Yarrowia lipolytica: one gene and its partner. The protein of the gene in region 2 interacts with the protein of the main gene of each other region in a pairwise test. Links are inferred from orthologs where the notes say so. Each region holds a gene or a part of one and is shown on either strand. Other genes may lie near its edges.

The links.
Region 1: the proteins of YALI1_D02137g (region 2) and YALI1_C00422g interact in a two-hybrid assay, tested with the Saccharomyces cerevisiae proteins (3 studies listed by BioGRID, with this or other methods). The link is inferred for Yarrowia lipolytica from reciprocal best matches to the Saccharomyces cerevisiae genes RTF1 and CHD1.

What each region holds. Positions count from the first base shown.
Region 1 is NC_090772.1:37,627-44,844, forward strand, and holds YALI1_C00422g (uncharacterized protein), read right to left. Parts: upstream 4,790-7,218; coding exon 4,787-4,789; intron 4,656-4,786; coding exon 501-4,655; downstream 1-500. Other genes in the region: YALI1_C00368g (uncharacterized protein), read left to right, coding at 1-426; YALI1_C00442g (uncharacterized protein), read left to right, coding at 6,576-7,218. UniProt on the Saccharomyces cerevisiae protein: ATP-dependent chromatin-remodeling factor which functions as substrate recognition component of the transcription regulatory histone acetylation (HAT) complexes SAGA and SLIK. It recognizes H3K4me.
Region 2 is NC_090773.1:211,168-216,088, forward strand, and holds YALI1_D02137g (uncharacterized protein), read right to left. Parts: upstream 2,571-4,921; coding exon 1,026-2,570; downstream 1-1,025. Other genes in the region: YALI1_D02150g (uncharacterized protein), read left to right, coding at 3,906-4,921.

The DNA.
Region 1 (7,218 bases), on a different chromosome or scaffold from region 2:
CCTGATCTGCTTGAACAGCATGAAAACGAACTCAAGGAGATTGAAGAGAGCGGCTACGAGTACAAACAACACTTTCTGGACACATGTTGCAAGGGAAATCTTCTCGACTACGGCTCAGACCACACAGATCTAAACTACAAGTTTTCGCTGAGGAAATTCACAGACCACATCAACCCAACCACAAAGACAAGCCATCCAGCGCCCACCTCACACTCTCTCCAGAGCACGCTGAGATTCTCGTTACTGGAGACCCAAGGTAACATTAAGAGAAGACGATTCTTCGACCATAATATCAGCACTCCTGTGACGATCTTCCATCGAGAAAACGCTCTAAGCAACGACACTGATCCAAGTTTGCCATTGCCAGTACGATCCGTGGCCTCCTTACCTGAGAAGCAACCACCACTACCGGCTTACGAGAGCTAGTCACACCGATATAAAATACAAATATTGATTACTTTAATATGATTACATGATGCGTTACAGTAGACTTTGGAAGTCTACTTTTTGGCGGCTCCGCTGACCTTCTCGTACATTGCCCGGATACGGTTACTCTTGACTCTGCTGGGCCAGAAGAAGGATGCAAACGCCCACAGATGCTTGAGAGTCTTCTCCCGCTTCTTATCAGAGACCTTCTGGGCTTCGGAGTCGATGTGGTGGCCCACCGTGGACAGCTCCTTCTTGAGGACCTCCAGCCAGGCCTTCTTGTCCAAACCATCCTCGCCCTTCTTGAGGCGCTTCAGAGACGCCTTGACAGGTTTGAGAGTCGTTCGACACGCCTCATCGTCCATTGACTCATAGTCTGAGTAGTCGTCAGCCGTGGGAGGTCCAGGAATCTTCTTGGGGACAGGAGTCTCTCGCTTGGGAGTCTCTCGCTTGATGGAAGGATCTCGCTTGATGGAAGGATCTCGCTTGATAGCAGCCTTCTTGGGAGGTTGAGGAGTGGACACTGCGGGAGATTCGCTCTTTCGAACACGCTCCTTGATGGCAATTCGCTTCTTGTTGCCATCGTTGTTGGTGTGAACAGCCTCGCCCTTGAGAACAGAGATGAGGTAGTCAACTCGACGACCGAGGTGAACGGCACCAGGAACCTTGGCTCCAGTCTTCTCTCGAGCCTCCTTCTTGTCAACTCGGTGCTCCTCAAGGTAGAACTTGTCTCCAAATTTGAGACGTGGATCGTCTCGAATGAAGGTCCAGGCTCCATAACCGTACTTCTTGGTACCAATGAGCAGACGAGCGTCACAGTCCTCGTCCCACTCACAGTTCCAGCCATGCACACTCTTGAGAGGTTCGTCGAACTTGAAAGTGTCCGTCACCTGGCTTCGAATGAGCTTCATGTCGGCTGGTCGTGAGATGAGCAGTTCGGCGTTGATGTTCTTGACGCCCTGGAAGGTGAAAAGAACGGCCTTTTTGGTGTTGGAGGGCTTCTTCTCGTCCAGGGCAGTATCTCCACCGCCTCGAGAAGCAGCAGCCTTTGCCGCAGCAGCGGCAGCAGCTTCAGCCTCTTCCTTGATCTGCTTTTCTCGCTCCTCAACCTCCCGCTTACTCTGGTCAATGAGGTCAAAGTAGGCTTCCTTGATGAGATCGGACTTTCGCTGGGGCAAAGTACCGTCGTTGAAAAGCTTATCCCACATGACGGAGACGTCGCCGTAACGTAGAATTGTTCGGTACAAACCTCTGATCTCCCGCTCGTTGAGGAACTTGTCCTCCTTCTTGCGCTTGACCACACGCCGCCCTCCACTCTCCTCATTTTCGTCAGAGGACTCAAGAGCAGCAGTGGAGGCACGCTGAGAGGCAGCTCGACGTCGATTCATTAGATCCATCTGTTCCTTGACGTACTCCTCGTCCTTTCGACGCAGATCGTCAGCCTTGATCTTGGCGAGCTCGTTGGCAGGGATAATGTCGTCCCAATCAACATCGGCCTTGTAGTCAGTGACCTCAAACTGCTTAAGGAACTCCTCGCCGCCAAGATGACTCTCGCCGAGATCAGGAGTGGTGATATGGTCCTCTGCGTGGTTCAGAACATCGTCTAGGTTCATGTTCTCCAGCTTGTCCTGGTTATCGTTGGCCTTGAACATATTTCCGGCGCCAAACTTTAGGATCTCAGACAGCTCCGAGGTCGACGGCTCAGTCTTTTTGTTGTTGGAAGAACCCTTGTCGGTGATACCAAGGGAGATGATGGCGTACTCCAAAATCATCTTCTTTCTGGCACGCTCGAGAACCTGCTCTTCAACAGTGTCCTTGGACACAAATCGATAGACCATCACGTGGTTCTTCTGACCGATTCGATGGGCTCGAGCCATGGCCTGCAGATCAGCCTGGGGGTTCCAATCCGAATCAAAAATGATGACTGTATCGGCCGTCATCAGGTTGATACCCAAACCTCCAGCTCGAGTGGACAGCAAGAAGACGAAGTCGTTACTGTCAGGGGCATTGTAATGGTCAATTGCAATTCGACGGGTGGCAGAGGGGACAGTACCATCCAGACGCTGGAATTGGTAGCCCTTAATCTGCAAATAATCGCCTAAAATGTCGAGCATTCGAACCATCTGGGAGAAAATCAGAACTCGATGACCGTCCTTTTTCAGCTGAGTGAGCAGCTTATCGAGAAGAACCATCTTACCAGAGGTCATAATCATGCCTCGGAAGACGTTTTCTCGAGAAGCGCCGTTCTCAGCCAAGCTGAGGAACTTGCTCTCGGCAGTGGGGAACAGGTACGGATGGTTGGAGGCCTTCTTGAGCTCCGTCATGATGTTGAGAAGTGACATCTGGTGACCTCCGGTGGCTCCGGCGTTCAGAGCCGTGTAGTTTTTGGAAATGATGTTCTTGTAGTAATCCTGCTGCATGTCGGACATTTCGACTCGCAGAATTCGCTCTGTCTTAGAGGGCAGTGATTTCTCGACATCCTTCTTGAGTCGACGCAAGATGAAAGGCTGCAGGCGCTTATGAAGCTCACGAATGTAACCCTCCTGCTCTTCGTCAGGGTTCTCAAAATTAATTTCCAGATCGATGGTGAGCTTGCCAGGCATCAGGAAGTCAACCAGAGCAGCCAGCTCCTTGATGTTGTTCTGCAGCGGAGTACCGGTGATGAGCAGTCTATTTGCGACTCGGAACTCCTTGAGAGACTCGTAGAGAGCTGACTCGGCGTTCTTGAGACGGTGGGCCTCGTCAACAGCCAGGTACTGCCACTTGATGGACCCCAGCTCGGCTCGGTCCTTAAGAATGTACTCGTAGGTGGTCAGAAGAACATTGAACTTGGGTTTCTTGTTACCAGTTTTGTTGTAGAATTCGTGGTCACGAAGTGCTTTTCGAGACTCGGTGTTGCCGAGATATGCGAGGTAGTTGATACCAGGCGCCCAGAACTCAAAGGTCTCCTGCCAGGCAGGCACAGTAGACAGAGGAACTACCACCAGGTGGGGCCCGTGCTGCTTTCGAGCGTACACAAGCCATGAGAGAAATGCAACGGTTTGGACGGTTTTACCGAGTCCCATTTCGTCGGCAAGAATACCGTTTTCGTTTCGAGACCACAAGAAGGCCATCCAGTTGATTCCGGTCAGCTGGAAGTCTCGAAGTTCACCACCCTTGATGAAGCCAGGCTGCTCGGTAAGCTTCTCAAACGGAGGACGTGAGTTGGCAGGGTAGACTGCGCTCTGGCTGGGATTGATTTTCGAGTTGAGCCGGTCCTGGAACCGCTCGACTTCGTCCTCGGCAATCTTGGCGATCTCCTCGGCATCTTCCCAGGTGGCGTCCGAGTAGTTGAGTCGCTTCCACTTTACGAGATACTGCAACTGAGTGGCTCCATTGTCGACAGCGACACGATCTGATGCAATGATTCGCTCAACAAGTTTATACTCAGCGTACTCCTCCTGTTCGCGCTCGCGTCGCAGCTCCATGGCCTCGATATCCTCGGGGGATGCATCTCGCTGCAGCTCTGCATACTCCAGCACGTTGAGCTTGATGTAATTATCGACTCGCTTGATTCCCTTGAAGCCGGCCAGCGAATCGTACGTCTCCCACGTGTTGTGCAGATGCGAGTAGTTCTGCCACTTGATGTAGAACTCGAGGTGTCGCTTGGCGTCAAACAGATCTGTAATCTGCGAGTCGTCGTCGCCTTCTTTTCGACGATGGTCCAGCACCATATCCACCGCCTCGGTGGACGTGGTGGTGGCGTAGTCGTATGTGTCATTAGCAGCGGCATCACCGTATGCGTCCTGCAGAGCGTCCTCATCCTCGTCCTCCAGAAATTCGTCATCGTCATGGTCAATATTGTAGTTGACCACCTTGGCGTTACGAGACGAGAACCGCAGGTTCTGGTAGTCGGGGGACGGCTCTCGGGCAGACGACTTGTTTCGTCCACCCTTGCGTCTGGAAGAAGACGATTTCTTAGCCTTCTTGGTCGGTGCGTAGTCGTCCTCCTCAGAGTCCTCATCGTCCTCCTCTGATTCCTCATCATCCAGAGACATTTCGCTCTCGTCGGAGAGGACGATTCCGTTGCTCTTTTTGGCCTGCTTCTTTCTCTGGGGACGTTTGGGCACGTCCTCTTCCGACGACGAATAGTCGACGTATCTCTTGCGGGCCTCGTTGGCCGTAGTCACCGCTGATCTCCGGGACCGTCGCAGCCCATAGAGCTCGGGGTCGTCGTTGAAGTCGGGGTTCTAGGGTTAGTAACAGCAACATGGTGACTTTTGTGGGTAGATAGAGCATCGTAGCCTGTCTCTACCATCTCTTTGTGACAGTTATCACCCACTTATTCTCCACCATGCCATCTTCAGTCCAGTGTACTCACCATTGTTACCACAACCTGCTAATGGACGTATATCAAACGCTGTGGGCGGCGGGGAAAATGCAGAGGGGTTGATGACCTTCTGTCTGTGTTTCTGGCGTCGTGGTTGTGCTTTTGTGTGAGGAAAAGAGACGTGATCAAGTCTCTGGTTCCTTCTCCGTTGTGCTGTTGCGCGGTTCTGTGAGCGATGGATGAAGAGAAAATGTCGGCAAAAAAAAAGAGCGTGACGACAGCAACACAGTAATGTGTATATGCAGAAACAGTGGGGATGGTACGGGTTATTGTTTGTGGGAGAGTGGAATGAATTGCGCTATGAAAGATACAGAGTAAGGACATGAAAAGTTACGGCGGAGACACAATCACAACATCGTCATGGTTGTCCCCGAGATTCTACGTAAGGAGTCACCACAGCGGTAGACAGAGCTTCACGCCCTGTGTTTACAAAGCTTCACACCAAGAGTTCTTCCGCCAGGTGACGCGTCTGGCGATGTCAGTCACGGAGGTGAGCAGCAGAGTACATGAGCACGCGTGTGGGCACCATGGCTGCGATGATCCGGGCGACCCAGCCCTTGTGCGACGCCCTAGAGCACCTCTGTAGGTCCTAGACGGTGCCACGAGCTCTCTGACGCCGTAGCCACACTCCAAAAACGCCCCGATACACGTCCAAAGCATATTTGGATATGATACCACAGGGCCTAGGAGATGGCGGGGACACAGACAGGACGTGACCAGGACAGCGCCGTAGTGTAGTGTCCAGCGGGCGTGGCACAGGCGCAGACCAATGCCACAGTGTGTCTGCGGTGCGTGTTCATCTCGTCGACGAGACGCGTGACTTTGAAGCGACAGTGGTTGCCAAACAAGAGGTCAGGGGCGGGTACTTTGTCTGGCTAGAGGAGGAGGAGTTTGGGCGATAGCCACATTTGTTAGCCTGAGGTGCCCTAACCGCATTTTAGGGTTCTGGCCAATGGGAGAAGTTCTGTACAAGAATCTTTCAAACCCTTTTCCCCGGCAAGATGCCACTTACCCGGCCAGAGTTTAATATGTACGCGGCGACAAGGATATGGAGGGTTAGGGTGTTCCTGATTGGGTAGACACTGACTTTGAGGTCGTCCAGATGCTGTAACATGACTGCAACTATGTACTTGTGCACTTGTACGGTATTGTTCTTATAAAGTAGTAGATCTCCACATGTTGATTTAAGCTATATTATTTGATATCTCTTCCTCCCAGCTCTCTACAGTATGTGCAGTTTTCCTACAGTAAATTCCCAACCTTTTAGCTACAGTGCAGCTTTCATAATCTGATGTGAATAGTAGGAGAGAATGTGGCTCATATAGATCACGACATAGGAGAAGACACTGTGACAGAATGGGTACAATTTCTGTTGGTACTGTTATCACGTGCGTACCTGACACATAGTTTGGTTGTACCTGGTGCCTGGTGAATGTGTCATCACGAAATTCTCAACTGTCCGTAGTATGGCATGGCTCTTTCACGCCACCAATGGCAAGCCGGAAAGGAGAAGTGAGTGTTTAGGAGGAATTGAGGACAGCAGAGAGGGTATCGCGTGATACAATGTTTGTCGTACCTGTTTAAACAGATAAATGTGGGCTTTTATCTCTTCAGACCCCCTCCCACGCTTTCAAACACGTGTCTCCTCTTCTCTAATTAAAGTGTCACGTCTACGCGTGGTGCATGCGAGACGCGCGTAAATTGGCCCAGCCTTGACAAATATAATACTGCTTGAAGGACAGAATACAACAAATCCAACAAGCAACTCCCCACAGCACAAATGTCACATCCTCTCCAGGAGTTCTCGCCGTCGCAGCTCAATAAACGACGTCAGGCGTCCATCTTCGACTTTGGAGCCACAAAAAAACGACGTCACGAATATCCTCCTAGCCCGCCTTCAAGTTCGCCTATCAAGAGAACAGACGACTACACCTCCGCCGAGTTCAGCACGCTTGAAAAAAGCCCTGTTCCATTTGAAATCGCTGTCTGTCTGCCTTCTCACCTGAGATCTGGCATCAACAGTCTCTCTCACAATGCATCTTTTCTGTCTCGTCTTCAGTGGCGCGAAATGGACGGTCTCAGACGCCATATCATGACCCAGAATCCCATACCCCATAGATACGCCCAGGCAACGGGAATAGCCGTGGCCATCGAAGATTGTCCTCTTCCTGTCCTTTGCGGCGTTTCTTCCAGCTCAACAAATGGCTTTTGGATCGGAACCCAAGACGGCAAAGCAGTCAATGTCAACAAACAGCTGCAACATGTCAACACCATTCAGATGCACAATAACGCCATTCTCGATATGAGTACTGGGGCTGGACTGCCTGATTTCCTGGCCACCGCTTCGGGAGACAAATCTGTCATTCTGTGGGAAACTGCTCAGAATGAAGACGTCATTGTCAGACAGTATTTCTGTGGAAACG
Region 2 (4,921 bases):
GGTTTTACAGCCTATAGGACTGTTCCTAGCTTGAGTTGAAGAGGTGAAGAGGGAAAGGGGGACATTAAGTGGAAAATTCAAAGTGCTTATCAATGAGATTAACTGCAATTAGAATACACTTAAAATACTTAGAATACACCTGAAGTACTTTTCAAACAACCCACTTACTACTACTGTACTGTACTGTACATTATCACTCTAACACCATCTACAGTATGTTCAATCTAATATCAGTTCAGACCCTTGGGTCAAATGAACACCATCTCCAGCCCAAAAGGAGTTCTAAGACCAACAGAAATTGTCTACATAGTTATTTAAAGCCATTTAAATCATTTTAGGTACTTTTATTGACTCTCATTTACGCAAGATGATGCACAAGCGTCCTTTATGTCGTATGACTGAGAATGGGAGGAAGTACAGGAGCACCACTTCCTAGACGATAGTGTAAAGGTCTGACTTAGTGTGTTCAATTAATTAACTGTGTATTGTTTTATATATGTTCCAGGGATGGCTATATGGCCTATCTATGGGAAGTAAGGAATCTCAGTCGAGGCCCCCTTTTGAAACCCTACTGGAATCTGTACACCATTAAAAGTAATAAAAGAGAGATATTATCCTGTTTTCGTGGAGATCTGGTGAATCGACAGAATACAAGTATTGCACTTGTACTCGTTCCTGTATTGAACAATCAGCAGTGGCGGCGTGTGAACACTGTTATGCCGCAGCTTGTTTAGAAACTTGTATGACGGTACATACTGTACAGTTCTTGTAATACGATTCTACCGCCTGCTTACCAACTTGTACATCACAATCAGTTCCATATATTACAAACATAACTTACCAGGGCAGCTAACCCTGCTCCTACCTACTATTCCTCCACAACAGATTCACTGTGCCTTCAAACCCATTCCTGTTGATGTGAATGTGGAGTCCGGCAAAGAGACTTAGTCTTTCACGCTTCATGGCGCTTGCAGCCGGAAGCAAAGGAAGTGCTACCTACCTATCCTTGGCTTTTCGCTCGCCGTTCACAACTTGCTTAGATCAATATCAATCTCAATCGTTGCAATTCTCGAATCAATACTATGCGTCTTCAAACACACCTTCTTGGCCTCCTCCTCGGCGATCCCCTCCGCCTTCTCCATCTCCTTCTGTCTAATCTCCTCAGCCGACTGATGGAAGATCTTGACGGTCGTCTTGAGACGCGAAAAAGGATCGGCATTGACACCAGAGTTGCTCATGGCAGCCTTTCGTCGCGCCTCCAGATCCATCAACTCAGCCTTTCGAATGCTCTCCTGGTTGGCCTTTCTGTTTCGAGCATTGACCTCGGCAAACTTGTCTTTCTGCGACGAGATGGGCTTGGACGTGTTCAGTGCCTCCAGCTCGGCCAGCTGTTCATCAATCTTGGCCATTTCGTCCTCATTTCCTTGGTCCTCGGCAATCTGGCGTCTGTTTTCCAGCACTGCCCGCTCAATCACAGCGTTGGCTCCCCGACCCGCAGACAGCTTGGACCGTCGGCGGACCATGTCGTCAATCTCCTGCGATGTGAGAGGTCGCGTGGCCAGCTCCTTGAGCTCCTTGTGTTTCCGTTCCAGGCGCTGGACACTGGGCAGGGAAACGCCTCCCTCCTCACACGCCTTTTTCCACTTGACAAAGTCCTCCTCAGTGAAGGGGCTGTCAGAGCAGTATCGCATCTCAAAGTTGGCTTCGTCGGCTCCAAACGCCACCTTGAGCGAAAAGTTGACTGTAGTGCCCTCCAGGGAATACGTCTTGTGTTTGAGGGGGACAACCTCCTTCACGAGACACACTCGGTTTCGCTGTTCCGTTCTGCTGACGGCAATTGGAATTCGAATGTAAGAACCGACCACAACCTGCTCGAATTCAGGATAGAAACAAAACTTGGCGAGCTGGGATCGCGAGAACCGGACTGAATTGAGTAGTCGTACGTCAAGTGTCTTGACCACCTCCTTTTCGTCCACCACATGATCCTCCGGTTCGTAGCCGTCGTCAAAATCGTCTTCCTCCTCCTCTCCTTCGTCTTCCTCGTCGTCGTCGTAATCATCCTGTTTTCGGGCTCGCTTCTCTCGTCGCTTTTTCAATTCACTCAGCTTTTCTCTCTTGGAAGATCGCTCAGAGTTGCGCTCGGTGTCCCGCTTTCGCTGCTTAAGACGCTGAGTCAGGTACTTTTTCTCCTGGTACTTTTGCATCTCCTGCGATCGGTCGAACAGCAGAGACTCTCGCTCCATTTCAGTCATGTTGAGCAGCTTCTGCCGATCGGCTTCGTCCTTGTATTTACCCTCCAAGGGGTAAGGCACGAACTCGTCTTCGGACTCATCGTCGTCGTCGTCGTCGTCGTGGTCAACGCCCTTGGCTTCATAGTCATCCTCGTCGTCGTCCTGATGGTCGTCATCACCATCATCACCTCCATCGTCATCATCTCCCTTGTCGCCATCTTCACTGTCCTCATCAATACGTCGACGTTTGGAAGGCTCGGCCTTGGATGTTAGATCGCCCTCGTCAGAGGAGTCCACGCCGCCAGCAAGCGCAAGAAGATCGTCGTCGAGATCGGACATTTTGGGGTGTTGTAGTGCTGCTGCTTCCAGAGAGACAAATCTCAAGATGTCGATGCTGAACGCCAAACTCAAAGTCACGTGTTGGGACAAGCTGGGAAACGGGGGATTGAAGGGATCGGTGGATATCCTAATATTAGGGGCTACCGGGGGTAGATTGAGAGGTCATGTGACAATAAATGGATCTGGGCAACGATTTTGATCAGATTCACAACTTCATATTTCCAATTCCTCCCATTTTAACCGATTTTATGACGCTTTATTGGGACTCAATGATGTTCAACACTGAAATTTTTGAAATTTCAGAGAGAAAATGTGACGAGCTGGGCTGAGCCACGTAGCGATCTTTTGAAAGACAGATATTCACTACTTGAACTTGTACAGCACTTGTAGCATGTAATTCAGTAAAAATACACGGACCAACTGTGATTTCGGAGTCCCCTTGGATACCTTCTCCGTAGCTTTACTTACATTAGTTGATAAGTAGTGAAGAGGAAAGTTCACCTCGGTGTGTCTCGCTCGGCTTTCAGAGGAGCTCGAGCTATGATTTTTATACAGTTCCAGAGGAGGTACACGTATTCTGAGCAAATATTAGATATTAATTATAATTATATTCCAGAAAAGTGTCCGTAGTTGCTGTACAGTAGGGAATGTGGAGTTCCTGTTAGTTAGGACATTTGTGGGCTATTACATGGGATTTTCTAACGTTAACATAGACCTGACTTCTAGACTCAGAACAGAACTAGTCATTGAATTAGTCCCCAGGAATTATCGACCCTAGCATCTCAGGATATAGTCAATAAAAGTAGTAACTACTCGATAGTCGCTTAATACATTATTTCGGAAGCTGGGTCCGTACAGTATAGTGTCATAGATTCACACAAGCCACTTGAGATACTCTAAGCCACGCATCCGCCAAGGCACCGGTTCGACACCTGCAAATCACGAATATTAGGGATGTCCACAAAACACCGAAAAACGAGAATAACACGAAATCGACATACACCAACGCCCCCCTAACTTCACTACACACACTCTCCTCATATCCAGCAAGCCAGCTCGACTCTGGTCTCCTACTCTGTCTTCCTTGCTGTCGTCTTGCAGGCACTAATATGCCTATTTCTAGGTCTGGAATGAGACTAGTCAATGTAACCGTAGACCAGGAAACGCATGTCACATAGCGGGTGTGGCAACGCGCGCAAACAAACACAGAAGCAGTGATATAAAGCCACGGCGATTGCGTTGCTTGCGTCGCTCCATTGACCAGACCAAATCAGCTCCTGAAGTTTCAGACTCATTTCCTCACACGCCAGTATTAGACTGCATCTCAGTGCTGCAATGGAAACTCTACTTTTATTCTTTCCAAACAGTACCAGCACCAGCACCATGTCCAACCAGACTCAAATGAGCAAACGGTCACCGTCGATTCTGGTGACCGATGTGCGGACTAACCCCGTGCGGCCGGCGCCGTTTGCAGGCGGCCGGCGCCAGTCCTTCTCGAAACGGCCCAAATCGAAAGGAAACAAGTTCAGCAACATTAGTGTGTCTGGACTGTTGGACGGAGCTCCAGCAAAGCGACTGCAACACGACTACCAGAGCACGGTGCAAAAGGCGCGAGGCATCCCACAGCGAACGTCGAAACAGTCGCAAAAACTGGTTTTGATCCCAGACGAGTCGCCGTCCTACGACGACGATGATGAAGACGCTTACGGAGTGCCCATCCCCGGAAAGCTGAAGGGACACGAGCTGTTCGACCTCAACACAGACGCAGATGCTTACGACGAGGCCAACGCCAAGGTGTATGTCACAGATGTGCCCAGACGAAGTATAGCCGAGCGAATGAGCAAAGATGCGCGAGATGCAAAGCTCCCACGAGTCACAGCCTACTGCACTGCCGAAGGGTATAGACTCAAAGCCACGGCCGAGTTTCTGCAGGAAAATCATGAAATTCGACCGCGAATCTACGACGAAGCGCTATTTGCGCCCTACTACCTGCCTCTTCTGCCTGGAGAAGACGGTTGCCGGGTCAGAAGCTCCCCCCCTTTAAGAAACGCAGTGGGAGAGTCTCTTATGGAGACCCTGATTGAGACGTCGGAGAACACAGACCATCATTTTGAGTATTACGGAGCCGACGGAGAGGAGCCGACGGACTTTTCACCTAAAGATGCCCCCATACCCCTGAAAGAAGAGTCCACTTCTCCGGAGTCCTTGTCTGAACCTCAACCTGGAAGTTCAAACGATACACATAAATCAGACGCTCCACCACCCACTACGAAACGTCTACCCACTCTCCCGGACCTCAAGCGACACGCAGAACTGTTCATCTTTTCGTACGGAGTGGCAGTGTTCTGGAA